Lepisosteus oculatus: one gene and its partner. The protein of the gene in region 1 interacts with the protein of each later gene in a biochemical or structural test. Links are inferred from orthologs where the notes say so. Each region holds a gene or a part of one and is shown on either strand. Other genes may lie near its edges.

What was found.
Region 2: of the proteins of limk2 (region 1) and rock1, one has a biochemical effect on the other in vitro, tested with the Homo sapiens proteins (2 studies listed by BioGRID). The link is inferred for Lepisosteus oculatus from reciprocal best matches to the Homo sapiens genes LIMK2 and ROCK1.

The regions. Positions count from the first base shown.
Region 1 is NC_090717.1:6,600,226-6,607,855, reverse strand, and holds the start of limk2 (LIM domain kinase 2), read right to left. Parts: upstream 4,599-7,630; 5' UTR 4,137-4,598; coding exon 4,121-4,136; intron 3,021-4,120; coding exon 2,924-3,020; intron 1-2,923. UniProt on the Homo sapiens protein: Serine/threonine-protein kinase that plays an essential role in the regulation of actin filament dynamics. Acts downstream of several Rho family GTPase signal transduction pathways.
Region 2 is NC_090701.1:57,292,161-57,299,790, forward strand, and holds the start of rock1 (rho-associated protein kinase 1), read right to left. Parts: upstream 4,829-7,630; 5' UTR 3,864-4,828; coding exon 3,771-3,863; intron 1-3,770. UniProt on the Homo sapiens protein: Protein kinase which is a key regulator of the actin cytoskeleton and cell polarity.

The DNA.
Region 1 (7,630 bases):
TTCGAATGTGCTGTATGAAAGAAGGTGGAGCTTTCATGGAAACCACAGATACAAACCCCCTTTGCTCAGCAAAATCCATAATCGCTCCAGAAACAGTTCTACAGGGTCCACTGGACCTTTACACTGGCTGCTTCAATTATGCACACAGATTACTAGATAGATAAGTACACTATATATATATATAAGATACATGTGAAACCACATGGACTTAAATAAAAATAAGTTCCAATGACAATTCATTGAAAACGAAGAGCAAGAAATGTTTTCCTTTAAAAACGCAAGACATGCTTTGAGTTCCGTATATCTGATCTTTATAGGAACAGTGCCTTCCCTGGTTCTCTATTGCTGTGGGCAACCAATTCAAATATTAGTTCTCACTTTCAGCTCTATCAACCATTCTGCTCCTGCCCTGTCTTCAGTCCCTTATCTCTGCCGATACCTGCTCCCTCTCTCTCCACTCCTCCTGTCCGTATCACCACTCCCCTCCTACCTGCTGAGCTCCTTCCTTCTCCACCCTTGTTCCTAGGTAATCCCATGAACCGAGAGCAGAACTGCCCAGGGCCTGACCTCCTTTCAGAGTCTGCTCGAGACTCACCTGTTCAAGCAGCACTCTGCTCTCCCTGAACACCACTGGACTGCACTCAAGTCTTGAACGGCCAAACTGGTACCGCAACCTGCTAATTACGATTACTCACTTCAAACAAAGCATATATACCTACAGGGTGTTTACATTATTACCCTGTATGCATACTACCTGCATACTGTTTTGACATCATTTCATCAAGTTTGCATGGAACTTGGATTGCTCATGCAGTGTGTTCCAGCCCCAATACGGTTTTATTAAATTACGTTACTGCAACTGCCCTATTGTTCCTGGCACTTAGACATTGTCATTCTTCTATACTATAAACCACCATGGATTTTCTTCTAAGAAAACAAATTGTAAGTAAAGTTTTGGAAGGATTTATGCAAAGCAAAATGTATATTTTATTAAAAAACACTTCCCCTGTGCAATAGGATCTTAAGAACGGGATACCTGCTTACGTGACTCTTTACAGCTACAGTAACAACTATGTACAGTATTTTCTTAAGTATGCAATCTGTGAGCTGTTCAAATAAAACTCAATTATAACAAAAGGCTTCTCCCCACCCATACTGGCATGCACACAAGAAGGCTCAGAATTAGTCAGCACAAAGAACTCGACGCTGCAAAACACACTCACAATAGTGACAGCCCTTTGTGTAACGTCTGATCGCAACAATTCTCATTTTATAAAGTCACACTGCTGAAATGTTTCATAAAAGGCAACAGCGTTACCACCTCGTAGCCTGATCTCATCAGATCTCAGAAGCTGAGCGAGGCTGGGTCCAGCCAGTATCGGGATGAGAGTGGGTGACTCCCCTCTGGATCCGAATTTCCACATCAGTCTCCCAGTAAGGAGATGTGAAGTAAAAGCAGCTCCTACAGCAGTGTCCCTTTAGATGTCAAACTGACTGGGTCATTAATTAAGATCCCATGGCACTGATCACCTGTAGTCCTGGCTAAATTCCACTCTACAACAGCACAATCCGATCTGAGTAAATATCCCAATAATTCAGCTGGTGGGACACTTACTACCTCCTCCTTCTGATCTTCATTGCATGGGGGACTCTGGTGCCAGACATCACTCAAGCAGATCCCCTCTTATAGTTAGAAGTGCTTTGGTATCCTGTGTGATGAAATGCACTCTACAGATCCCAGGACTTAACAACACTGAATTCACCGAAGTACGAACAGTTAAAATTCGTGCATCACATGCCTGTCTACAATACTGACAGATCCTAGAAGTTAATTCCTATTCAAATCCCTGGAGATGTATGACTACAGCATACAGCCAGCAGCCATATCACCCTGCAACTCACAACTGGCAACCCACTGAAGCTAGGCAGGTGTGAGCCTGGTCGGTACCTGGATGGGAGACCTCCTGGGAAAAACTAAGGTTGCTGCTGGAAGAGGTGTTAGTGGGGCCAGCAGGGGGTGCTCACACTGTGGTCCATGTGGGTCCTAATGCCCCAGTATAGTGATGGGGACACTATACTGTAAACAGGTGCCGTCCTTCGGATGAGACGTAAAACCGAGGTCCTGACTCTCTGTGGTCATTAAAAATCCCAGGGTGTTTCTCGAAAAGAGTAGGGGTGTAACCCCGGTGTCCTGGCCAAATTTCCAATTGGCCTTTACCAATCATGGCCTCCTAATAATCCCCTTCTATGAATTGGCTACATTACTCTGCTCTCCTCCCCACTGATAGCTGATGTGTGGTGAGCGTACTGTTGCACTATGGCTGCCGTCGCATCATCCAGGTGGATGCTGCACATTGGTGGTGGTGGAGGGGATCCCCATTACCTGTAAAGCGCTTTGAGTGGAGTGTCCAGAAAAGCGCTATATAAGTGTAAGCAATTATTATTCATTATTACCACTGACAGCTCACCTGCTTTAAAGTCAACATAGGAAAGAGACGGTAAGACGACACTGAGAAGTCTCTAAAGACTCAAAAACTGAAACAGGCGTGTGAAGAAAGGTATCGGTTTAAATACATATTGTACCTATATAATAAGTACAAATACATTTCGACTTTATATGCTGTCTAGCGCTAAAAAAAGCTCAGTGCATGCTTTAGCCCGGCTAAAGAAAATGACTAGGTTTGCCACAATAATAATAAAAATCAGTAAAAAAAAACTGCGAAAGCCGTAGATATCGGAAAAAAACTATTTTATTTGCTACAGCTCATAATGTAACAAAAACAAAACGTCAAGGTGCATCTCTGAACCACTGGTCAAAGTGAAATCAAATGAAGACTGCAGTTGCACAGGACAAACAGTGAGTTTTAAGCCAGGCGCATTTTAACATCAGTCACAATTGCGCACAGCAGCTTCTTGCACTTACTGAAAGCAGGAGTTGTGCCAAACGTCTTGGAGAACTTTGATGTAGAAAGTGTCCAGAATCCTGCTTCCACACCCCACACAACGGTAAGACTCGTCACCTGAGGACCAGACAGTGTCGTGAGGCGTGAGAAAAAAAAAACATCGCATTTGGACGGCACAAACATCCACTTGCACCACAGCAGCGACTGGTTTTCTTTAAGAACTCGTAACAAAAGCAACCGTCCTCCCCGACCTTTTAGCGCAGCATAAATCAGCGATTTACTGCGCTACTTGATTTTGGAACTTAAAAGGAGCTCCTTAAAAAAAACCCTGCATTTTTTAATAATTGTAACAGTTTTTTTTGCACTTTTACAAAATTAAAAGGTATTTATTTAGATAAAACAGTCTGAATAGAAAAGCAAAACAGCTTTAAAAGGAGCCATTAAAGTGTCATTATGTAACCCTACGGGATTGATCTGTGTCCAAACGATCATAGCCGAAGTATGGTTTGAGTTAGGGGGACTTTTTTTGTCCAAGTTATTTTTAGACAGAAAAGCTATGAAATACCAGCTAATTTATACACGCACAGGGATCAAAATTGAGCGACTGCAGACTGAGCTGTGACTTTTTCCCGCAGGCTGGGGAGAAGCAGTCGTCGCCTTTTAAAATGTGCGCACCAACACTTCCAGAATATTTCACACCTTCCTAAAAAAATGAACCACCAGCTGTTCATAACCTAGACACAGAAGTGTGCATTTAAGTGTTAAACTTTTGACTGGAATCAATACAAACCTTCAAGGGGAAAGGGTTCAGCGGTGTATTGAAAGAAATTCACACATATATATGTACACACACACATTTCACTTTCCCGAGCTTTGGTGCTCAACACATTTAGCATATCGCCTCACTCGGGCTGCTGGATTAAAAACATGAAAGAAACCCAAACTAAACACAATAATTGCGACCGGAGGAGCTCTCACCAAACCTGAAAGTTGCGTGTTCGCAGGCTGGTATTCAGGTTACAACAGGTTCGCTAATACTGGAATTTGAAAATGCTCCCCCCTAACTTTAACTCCACTATAAACGGGGCAACAGTGAAGATTATATATATATATTGCGAATTTAACTAGGATTTACTGGCAAATGCCGCAAAGATAAGAATGTAAACTTTGTCGCATCATAAACCCTTTTGCTAAGTGAGTTCAAATGAGCTACTTACCTTGCCGATCCTCCATCTAAACCTTGCTCGTTGACTTTGCTTTTGCCTATATTACCATGGTTCCCTGGGGCTGGCCGTACGCTTATCATTAGAAAAAGGCACACAGGAGAGCGTTACGTAAGACTTTATTTAGCCGTAGTTGAGACACCGCGAATTTGGAGTTAAATCCCCCCTCTTTCTCTAAGGGAGGGAAAAAAAAAGTTCTGCCCAGGACTTGCGAACTTTCTTGTTGGCAGCGGGAGTGACGTCATGCACTTGAAATTCCAGTACGGAGACCGGTAGGGATCAAACAGCAACACCTGGGGCAGGAGTTTAGCCAAAAAAAAAAAGTCCTCTCCAGTCACTCAATGGGCTGCAGTCAGACCCGTCTGCCGACAGGGACACGCAAGCAGCAGCACATCGGAATAGCTTCTTTAATGCCGTCCGCATTAGTTCATCATTGGCGTGGGAAAACCTATCGAGGTGCCCGCCGATCATGAAACCCTCACCCTTCGCCTGTGATGTGCAGTTACGTTACCCACCCCCCAAAAATGTGAATGTGAAAATATTTACGGACGCATTTTTAAAATGCCATAGTGGCGTATGTTGGTGTTTTATTCCGTACAGGTGAAAGTCAAACAGGTGAAGCAGATTAAAGGGCTTATCTTTGTGATTTATGTGCGTCTCGCTATCAAATCTACCCACCCGAGACATCTGTTAAAAACAATACTTAATGCTAAAACTGTGCATCGAGGACGTTGCTGTTGTCCTTTGATATCATTTAATGCGCGTTGAGTAGCTCTCAGCGCACAAATCTCTCTTAAGCCTTTTTAGTTCGTTTTGTTGTCCTCTTGATTAGAAAACTAAAAAGCTGAAAAGAAAAGTCAGATTTATACCTATATCTGCAATTAGATCAATCTTAGCAGAGTAGAAGTGTCAAATAATACATTTATCATTTTAACGTCGTTTGGAGATTATTTGGATGCCTTAACTGAAATTAATGAGGCCCACTTTTGCTTTCTTAGAGCAACACTGACATCTAGTTGATTTCACAATTTAATTATGCTGAGCATGAAAAGAAGCCTGCCTTGTGTACCTGCAACAAATTCACAAATTTATCACAAAAATGGAAATCTTTTTTTTTTTTTTGCAGCGGGTGCACTCAACATTTTATTACAAGACATTAGTTTATGAAACTCCCGCGTATGAACAGGGCTTTCCTGTGAAAGTTTAGGCTAGCAACACATGTGAATCAGTCCTGGTTCACGCTTTGTATCGGCTGCAGATGCTGCCTTGTGGGATTCTGTGGCAGATTCCTCTCCTACAGCTTGGACAAACAAGTGCCTGTTCACGGGCCAGTCTACCCTAAATGCCACACGTCATCCCAGCTCTTGGCAGTGGAGCTCGAGACCGGGCAGTAGGGCATCCACTGCCACATAACTGCCCCACTCTTACCTTTTAGAAAAAGCTGCTGTTCCCCGAGCAGCACGAGGGTAGGTGTTGTTGCGCCGGACGGTTGTCATGTTCTGGAAGAGGTCACAGAATGGGATGTCCCAAGACGAGATCCGAGCAGCACTGTGCACTCTGGTTAATGGCATTCACTAAAACTGCAGTTGTGTAGCGACAGGACACTCCTGCCCAGACCATCACACTGGGACCCCATTGATTATGGTGAGGTGTTACGACTCATGGTCTCCAAGATCATGGTCCATCTTTAACGAGTTTGGCTATAAAGTCTAACTAGGTTAGAAACTGCAGTCCAGTGTTCCTGTGAACACCTCAGACTTTGTTTGGCCTTTGGTATTCACAAGCTATAAAGGCATTGTTCTCTTGATAATGTCTTCATTATAGATAGATCTGACATTCACCAGGTTAAATCACCTCATCGCTTGCACACGATTTAGTGTTGATGCACCAAAGAAAATTTAGTGGTCAGTCACGAATGATCAATTAAAAAAATTGAAACAAAGACATTTAATATCCAAAATCCATATATTTTTATTTTTCAAATAACATACTATCATTGCACAATTGTTTTTGGGAAGCTTCGTTGATGCTCAGTAAAAACCTTCAGATTCCCCATCATATTTAAGATGGTTATGCCAACATTTTGCAGGTAAACCCTTTCACAATCACAAAATTCCTTTATGTGTGATTTCTGTGGATTTAAGTGGTACAAGTATTAAGTTCAATACATTGAAAGGGCAAATTTCATTATTGAACTGTTTACTACAGCTTCTTCTTCATTTAAAAAAAAGGGGCAGATGAGTTATTCATTGCTAGCACAAAACAAAAAATATCGATCTCATGCTGAATGTCTTTTGTATACATATTTATAAGACACTGAATGTTCTGGATCTAGGTTATCTTAAGAACTTGTTGCACGAGAGCAGATAAACTCTTAATCTGTGGTCTGCTGATTCAGTTCTTTTTGCTCAAGGGTCAACAGGGTCTTCTTGTGTGCAGTGCCCTGCCTACTCAAATCCATTAGGGAATTTGCAGCTCTGCATATTTAAAATGTGCTTTAAAACCTCTCTTTTCACTGTACACAATGTGCAATTTAGTTTCACTCTTGGTTTTAGTTGATTCAGTTTGCTCTGATTTTCTCAGTTTCCTGCTGGTAAGGGTATTAAGCGAGCTCCGATACAGTGCTTTTAAGTTTCAACAAAAAAAATTGCATTATAGATATGAGTAGAATAGGTTTTTGTCAGTGCTATCTCTTCTTACCTCTACTGACTAAACGCTATGAACTGTTTTCAGAACATCTATGCAGGTAAATTCAATGAGGCTGAAGTAAGCCAGAGATAATTCTATAATTCGTAAACAGCAGTTTCAAAAATTATGGTACAGACACTGTAATATGTACACCTTGAGCACATCTAAAATATGTGCTGCCCACAAGCACTATTTACAAAGCCATTTTGTTTTTAAAAAACAGCGTGGTCCTGTTTGGTACTGTTGAGACAAGGTGTTTTGGATGAATGTTTTGTTTTTCCATAACAGAAGTAAGGTTCTCACATAGGATTTTCAACATGGAAATGGGAAAACAAACTAAAGTACCAAAAATATCTGGTACCTTTGTCAATGTCAATTCATTGACAAATAATGTTTCAGTGTTAATCTTAACTTGGACAGTTTATAATTTGTAGTAATAACATAAATTGTTAATAGATTAACTCTTGTGAATTGATTCTTGAGGGTTTATTTAATCAAATAATCCAAAAGGGTACTTAAGCAAACTTTAAATCTAAAGTTATTTTTCTGCTTCCCCTCTTCAATTTTAATTACAGGCATCACTGTAATTTCTACCCTTTTGCTTTACATATTTTAAACAAAGACATTGAAAGAACATTTTCAAAAATACCTTTATTTAGAATCTCAGATATGGCATACAGAAGAGATGTAAAAATTAAGACAGTCTAAATGGAATAATTAAACTGAACTGAATGCTTCTGATTTTTTCTAAAATCAAGTCTATTTATGTGGCTGGCAACAAATGTAACACTACACAATGTTATGCATTAATCATCA
Region 2 (7,630 bases), on another chromosome or scaffold:
TTCAGTGCAGGACGTGACAGTGAAGGGCAGGCAGAGACAGCGTCTGGACAGCAGGTCCGGATTCCACACCAGGGACACCTCTCCCCGTCACTTCAGAGCAACTCCCTAAACTTCACATACCGGATCTCCGTCTGAAACTACAGCACCTATAAAATCTGCAAGGACTGCACTGTCAGCGCTTGAGAGTTCGTTAAAATGTAAAGAAAAGCTCCACACTTAAAAACTGCAACCAGCAAGGTTCGTGTTTTCTGTCCGACTTCTGTCAATTCAGCAGAAACGGAGGGAGGAAGCTGGAAGACAAGCTGTTCTCTTTTTCTTTCAGTGCAAAGTCATCCGGAACAGCCCTGCGGGGATGCTGACGGCACACGTGTGGAAAACTGCCCGATCCGAGTGAAGGAAGGAGGACACGATGCCACATTACACACCCAGACTCTTCAGCACCGAATAAAACCAGCAGAGGAACAACCCACTTCTGTTCAGGGGTCACAGGGTATAGAACTAATCACCAGTCCACACGGAGCATGCAGTGTCACCGGGAGCGTTCAGGTAGTTTCGAGGAGGTGCTTGGATTAACATACCAACAGCCAGATGAGGAGGATGGACTGAACGGCCTCCTCCCATTGTAACCATTCTTAAACCCTTACTACACCACCCAAAGGAGTCGGTGTGGGACCCTTCACGACACACTTGAAGATCAGATGAAGATGCTGGCGGCTTTCAATCAAATACTGACAGTTTCTTTGTGATTTCAGAACTGCCCTCTGAAAGGAGTACTGAAGGGATGGTGTTTCATTCCTACATGTATAACCATTGGAAAGGGCACGTCACGCCTCTCGCAAAATCAGACAGAATTCTGCAAAAATCCCTCTACCTTGAAGATTCAGAGGTTTATACTGAAAGGCAGGATGTAAGAGCCTTACAGAGACCCTGAAAAGCCCCCTTTTTAAAAAAGCAGACATGTTTGAGCTTCTCCTTCAGCTGTTTCTGAATAAAACAAGGAAAGAGGCCATGAAATACACCACCGATTCATTACGGAGCCCTAGTCTTCGCATTCAAGCCCTTTGTTGAAGCTCTGGATTGGTTTTTGGCAGCATCTCCTGCAGTGAGCGAACACTACCCAGGAAAGTGTGAGCAAATATCTCAGGCACCCCTAAACTGAGCAAAACCCCTTGTTTCTCCCTCTGAGTGCACAGGTGCTTGTTACACAAGTACCAATGCCACCAAGAGTAACAGACAGAATAACTCCACATCTGAGGACTGATTATAAGCCACCTTTTGCTTCTTACAGGGAAGACATAACACACAGTAATACAAGGTAATGACTGGCCAACAGGAAGCTTCTACATACGACTGGTCAACTGAGAAGAACTGACAAGAATCCAAGATCACCCCCAAAATTAGGTCACCTTTACATCCTGCCTGCAAACATCATCACGATCTCTCTTTTAAAAGATGAAATCAAGTCATGCGAACAGTACACTGCAATCAACACATTGAGAATCCTGGAATGCTTTCAGACAACAAATACCAGATATGACTTATGGCATAACAAAACGCTGTGTGGGATTAATCGGGGTGCCAGCGGGCCCCCCAACAGGCCCTCAGCCCTGGAGAGCTGCTGATGCTGCTGGGGTGCGTGTGTCGCGATAATTACGCTGGCACGCTGACATGCAACAAGGGGGGACCTGCGTCGACTGTTCCGCTTGAACTCAAAACTGAAGAGTGGACTCGCTGCCACAGATTAAAAAAATCTGAATTTCCCCCCAGCGCCATCCTCCTCCACAGCCGAGTGTTATTTGCAGGACCTCCACCAGAGCGGATGAGAAAGATCCTGTTTCTGTTGACTTCCTAGCCATACGAGCCATTTCGACAATCTCGCACCCAGCTCTGCTTCTGCATCTCGGGGCTCGGCGGCTCACACCATCTCCGACAGCTCTTGTAGGAGCCGACGCCGAGATTTTCCTTCTGGAGCATGGCTTCTCCCATGAATGACGCCTCTCGCGCACACACGCGCACCTTCGGCAAGACGAACCCCGATTCACTCAGGAGTGAGCGCGAGGAATTCGACTAGCCGGGGCTCTCAGAACTCATGGACTGCCCTCGTGCGAATTAGGATTTTGGAATATTTTAGGCCAAACCGAGGATGGAAAAAAAAGGGGGAGATCAGACAGGCAATCCTGGAACTTTCCAGACGAATCTGTTAATGAAACCTGACACACACCCTCAACGTGCAGCTTAAATGCCATTTTCCATGAGTATATCGCTGGAAGCTTGAAGAGTCTGTCTAAGAAGTGAATCGCTATTACAGACACTGGAACTTAGGCAGGACAAAGGGGAAAGGAGGCACTGACAATCTTCCCATCAGCCCCACCTCACTGAGCGGAGGACAGAACAGGCCGGAATGTTCTCAATGAGTGGACCAGGAATCGGGCAGCCCGGTGGCCAGCACTGCGGACTCGCAGGGCTGGGGCCCTGGGTTCTGTTCCCGGGGTGCTGTCTGTGTGGAGTCTGCATGTTCTCCCCGTGTTTGTGTGGGTTTCCTCCCACAGTCCAGAAACACACTTGTGGGTTAACTGGCTTCTGGGAAAACTGGCCCTGGTGTGAGGAAAAATGGGAAAAAAACGGCCCACTGGCTCATGACAATTATCCCTACCCTAATATTGAACAGGCCCCTAAAAAAAATCACTTTCCAAGCAACAGAAGTTCCCCCTTAACTCGTGAGTCGCTGGCTCGTTTGACAGCTACCGTCAAACAAGCATTGAGCGGCAAACAAAGTTACGACCCGGCTCAACTGTAACTGCAAAAAAACCAACACCACCACGTACTTAACGGCGGTTCAGCTGTCGTACAGGAAGGAGCACCGACTCGGCCACCCTGCCCAGCCACTCCAGCCGGGGGCGGCTGTGCGCCGGGGCCTCGGGTGGTGACGGTCACCCCGCAAGGCAGCAGCACTGAACTATGCTGTAACGGGCAAAGCGGTATCCGGGCCCACTGGATCACCGCCACCCGTGTCCCCGTGGTCCGAGTGGCGCTCTCGCCGTGCAGGGCCCGGCTGGACACGTCCCTGTGAGTGTGAGCTGCCCACGGTGTCCGTGTGACAGGAGCAACAGGCTGGCAAAACACGGTCTCGCCTACCGCATGACAGTGTGCTGGGGTGTTTTTTTTTTTGGGGGGGGGGGTTCTCTTTATTTAAATAATTTCCGATTGACGATTTATCACCAGCTTAGGGAATCTCAGTCCGACAACAGGAACTGCACACAGCTTGCTTGTAGGTTAAAATGCTCTCAGAGAGAGAGGGGTTTTTTTTCCCCCTGTGTGGGAGTGTGAATGACTACGTTAGCCGACGCTTCTGAAGTGTCTAAGTCGTGCAACAACAGTAAAAAAAAAGCACATTTCCAGGCGAGCACCAGACATCGGGTCTCAGCGGCGAGCAGGACTGTGAACACCAGAAACGCATAACACAGAAGTTATGTCAGAGAAGAAAACGCCAGTGCTGTTCAGTCGCACACACCATTGCGTGACACGGAGGAGCTACGTGGTTTTAACTCCGCACAGTCGAGTTTTTAATGTCTAACCCCCACCCCCACCCCCCCCGGCAACTGGGCAGCGAGCTCATTAAAATGCGATCACTAAACAGAACCGAACACACCCGTGCAATTCATTATTATTATTACTACTTTTTTTGCAGTATCATTTGAAACGAGAGAGACAGAGAGGGGGGAAAACCCCAACACAGACAAGACACACACACACACATCCCGGACACTCACCAGCAGGCAATCGGTATTAACTTCCGATTTGGGATCCTTGAGCATGGCATCGATCTTTTCAAACCGAGCCTCCAAGCTCTCTCCAGCGGACATTTTTGCTGTCAGTTCTGGGTTTTTTTTTTTCTCTCTCTCTCTCTCCCTTGTCCTCTGGGGCACGGCGTGCAAAGCCTGCCTCCCTGGGGTCGGGCCGGGTCGGGTCGGGTCCGCAGCCGGTCAGACCCGCTTCAAGAGGCGAGCCAGCCGCTCACAGTCGGAGAAACCTTCAGCCAGTGCCCGGCGGGTCCAAAGCCACATCTTAAGAGAGAAAACTGTCTGAGCCGGTCAGCTCTCCTGCTGCTCCGAGCTCCGAGCTGGGCTGACAACTTCACTTCTTTTAAAAAATAATAATAATAATAAAATGAAATAAAATCAAAACACGCCGCAACGGATCTCTCGCCCTCTCTGGTCCCCGAGTTTCGCCCTCAGGGCTACAGCCTCCAGACGCGGAGCACGGTCATTTCGCTCCCACTCCCCCCAGAAACAGCGAGAGCCGCAGCAGGATGAGAAGAGGCAGTTAGCATGATTCACACAAGATACCGCACTCACGGCCTGGCACAGCTGGGTCGGAGGGGCCCTGGAGGCAGCGAGAACTTTTTCTTTGGCTGTTGTTTTCTGCCTTGCTTGTTTGTTTTTTTAAATCCGAGCGTGTCTGACAGCTGCAAAAGTAGAACTGACTTGGTGGGTGGGGGGTGCGGTGGGGAGGGGGGGGGGAAGGAGAGAGAGGACAAAAAAAAGTAGTAAAAAAAAAAACTTCAGCCCCTGAAAACCGTGCTCGGTTTTACAACACGGCCCCGATGAAACATGTCGCTCCGGGGGTCACCTCGCCGAACAGCGCTCAAGCTCCGCGGCCCAGGGGTGTCGCCAGGGCCGGCATGCTGGATCCCGAGGCTTCCGAGAAAGGGCGATCCGGCTCCCGAGAGTCGTTGTTATTTTTCGAACTGCAAAAAGTGCCCGACTTTCCCTGCCTCTCTGACAAACATGTCCGCCTTCCTGTTCAAACAGCCGGAGAGGCAAAAGCTCGAGCTCGCGCGCCACTGCGCAGGCGCCAATGGCGTGGGGGGGGGGGGCGCGCTCGGGACGGCCCGTGCCCGTGCCCGTGCCCGGCCGTCGGGGCCGCGCGTCGGGAGCGCGGCCCCTTGCCTGTCCGCCGGGCCGCGCTGTTACAGTCGTCTTTTACAAACCTGTTTCGGTGAAATATCAAACTACGGTGAAAATGCAACTGCAAAATGTGTGTGGCAGAAATGCGGAGGTTAGGGTCCCTGAACCTTGGGTGTGGTAGCTGGGACGCCGGCTGTCGTTGCTGTGAGTAGCTAGGGCGCTCAGGAATTGCTCCAGTAGATGCTATGCTGTACATGCTGGGTCTCCAGCTCGTCACTGTGAATGAAAAATGATTATCTGGCTTGTTGAATGTGCTAGGAAGGAATCACAGGGCTGAGGCAGAGCTGAACAGAGGAAAGGGTGAGGAAGATAACGTTATCGGCTGAAAAATATTTTTCATGGGTACTCTGGGGATCCACAAACAATTCAATGCCCTTGTGCATATGACAAACTGAACTGCCCTGAAACGGAAGATAAGAGGTTCCAAATGGGATTTTATAAAAGGCTATCCATCACCTTTCATAAAACACTCGCTTTAGCCTGGTAAGAATTCGTGTGTGTGGTAAGAGAAACTCTATTCGTAACCATTAGTTTTACAGTTATTAATGATCTCAATAGATCATTAATAATCAAACTGTCAACAAATTAAAACTTTCCGAGTGAGGTGCTTGTCCGTTGTCAATCCGTGCAAGTGGAGGATGGGGCTGGATTCGCGCAGTGAAAGAGTCCCTCCAGGCCGACCCCTTGCTGTTGTCCGTGTCGTTTCCCTGTCCCGGCTCTGGACCTGCGGAGCCGGAGCTCAGGGGCCCACAGTCCCTCCCAGCGCCCCTCGCCGCGGAGATCCCCACTCGGCGGCACCGTGCTTCATCCTGCCTCTGAGATCCGCAGGGATCCTCTCCCCCAGATGAGAGTGTCCCCCGCGTCCCGCAGTCCTTGTGTTATCAGGGACACCAGGTGCTGTGTCCCCTTGTCCAGCCCCAGCAGGATACCACCATCGCAGACAGACGTCCAAACACCAGTCACAACAACATGAATTGTTCATCCATCCTCCCATTTCCTAACTACTTCTTCCAGTCCAGGCTCACAGGGGAGCTGGAGTCTATCCCAGCAAACAACAGGCAAAAAGCAGGGTACAACAGTCCATCGCAGGACACACACACACACACCCTGGACAGGACGCCAGTCCATCACAGGACACACACAGACACACACACTCACACACCCTGGACATGACACCAGTCCATCACAGGACACACACACACACACCCTGGACAGGACGCCAGTCCATCACAGGACACACACACTCTGGACAGGACACCAGTCCATCACAGGACACACACACACACCCTGGACAGGACACCAGTCCATCACAGGACACACACACACACCCTGGACAGGACACCAGTCCATCACAGGACACACACAGTTACACACACCCTGGACATTTTTTACTTCTTTGACTATTTCCCGTTAGTGCCATTGGGTACTGTATAAGTCTTTGTGCTACTACCACAAAACACTTTATCAAACTTTTCCAGTTGTGTCCTTAAAGACATTGAAACTTGATTAACTTGGCCCATTTAAAGAAAAAGATCATCTTCTTTTTGTTCAAGCTTTTCTAGAAATTTGAACCCTAACCCTAGGAACACCCTATTTCTTCTCCTGTGCTCTCTACTGCGTTGATCATGGTTTGTACATCAGGACATTCCAGGTGTGAAATCATGAAAAGCCTCATTCAGCCTTTCCAAAATTACAACAAATTCACACTTTTGCCTTGATAGTTCTTTTCTATACCGATTTATGGCTCAAACACATTCACTGAATTAGTGTACATCTGAAGAGCAAACCATTGTTCGGCCCTTTTTTCTGCTGGGTTAGGATTCTGGTGAGAGAACCACTGATTCAGACTGTGTACTACTGCATGAAACACTTGATCACAACGCAGAAAGGACTTACAGCTGCCCCACCTCTTACGAGAGCAGTGCCTTTATGCCGCTGGTGTGTTGAGGCTGGAAGTCGGCACACTGTCACATGCTGTGTGATGTGTTCACAAACAGCCATTTCTTTTACATATATTTATGGTCACCAGGATTTTTCATTAAGATTGTTTGCCGGCAAGATAACCACACCAGAGTCCAGTGCTCACAGCAGAAAGCAGGTGGGCTCTCGGGCGGGCGAGCCGTCGTTGAGTGCAGAGTGTTACGGATAGCAGGCCAAAACAAAGGTAGAATTGGACCCTATGCGGAACTGGACAACAAGGAAGGAACAGGATTAGGGGAGGCCAGGTGTACTTAACCAAGTCTCAGGACCAGGAATCGTAGTCTTGGACGAAGCCGGAGGTTCAGAAGGTTAACAGCAGTCAGGAAGTGTCGAGGACGAGAACCAGGAGCTCCACTGGTAAACCGTGGTGATGGTCACGAGCCCAGGGGGTGTGGAGGTGACTGACAGGTGTGATTGGATGATCAGTCGATGTGACGGCGTGTGTGGGGATGGGAAGGGTCTCTGATTCTGTGTGGCCGTGACACAGCCATGCAGAGCGCAGGTGTGACGGTGTGGCAGGAGCTCTCAGCTGCTTCCCCTCTTGTAGGGACAGGTGGCGTCTTGAGAGCACGGGCTCGTCCTGGCCTGACAGCGGGCCTCCTGCTCAAGCTGCTCGGGCGGCTGCCGCTCTCGCTGGCCTGAGCTGCTCAGCACGTGAAGGAGGGGGAGAAGAGGACACAGGC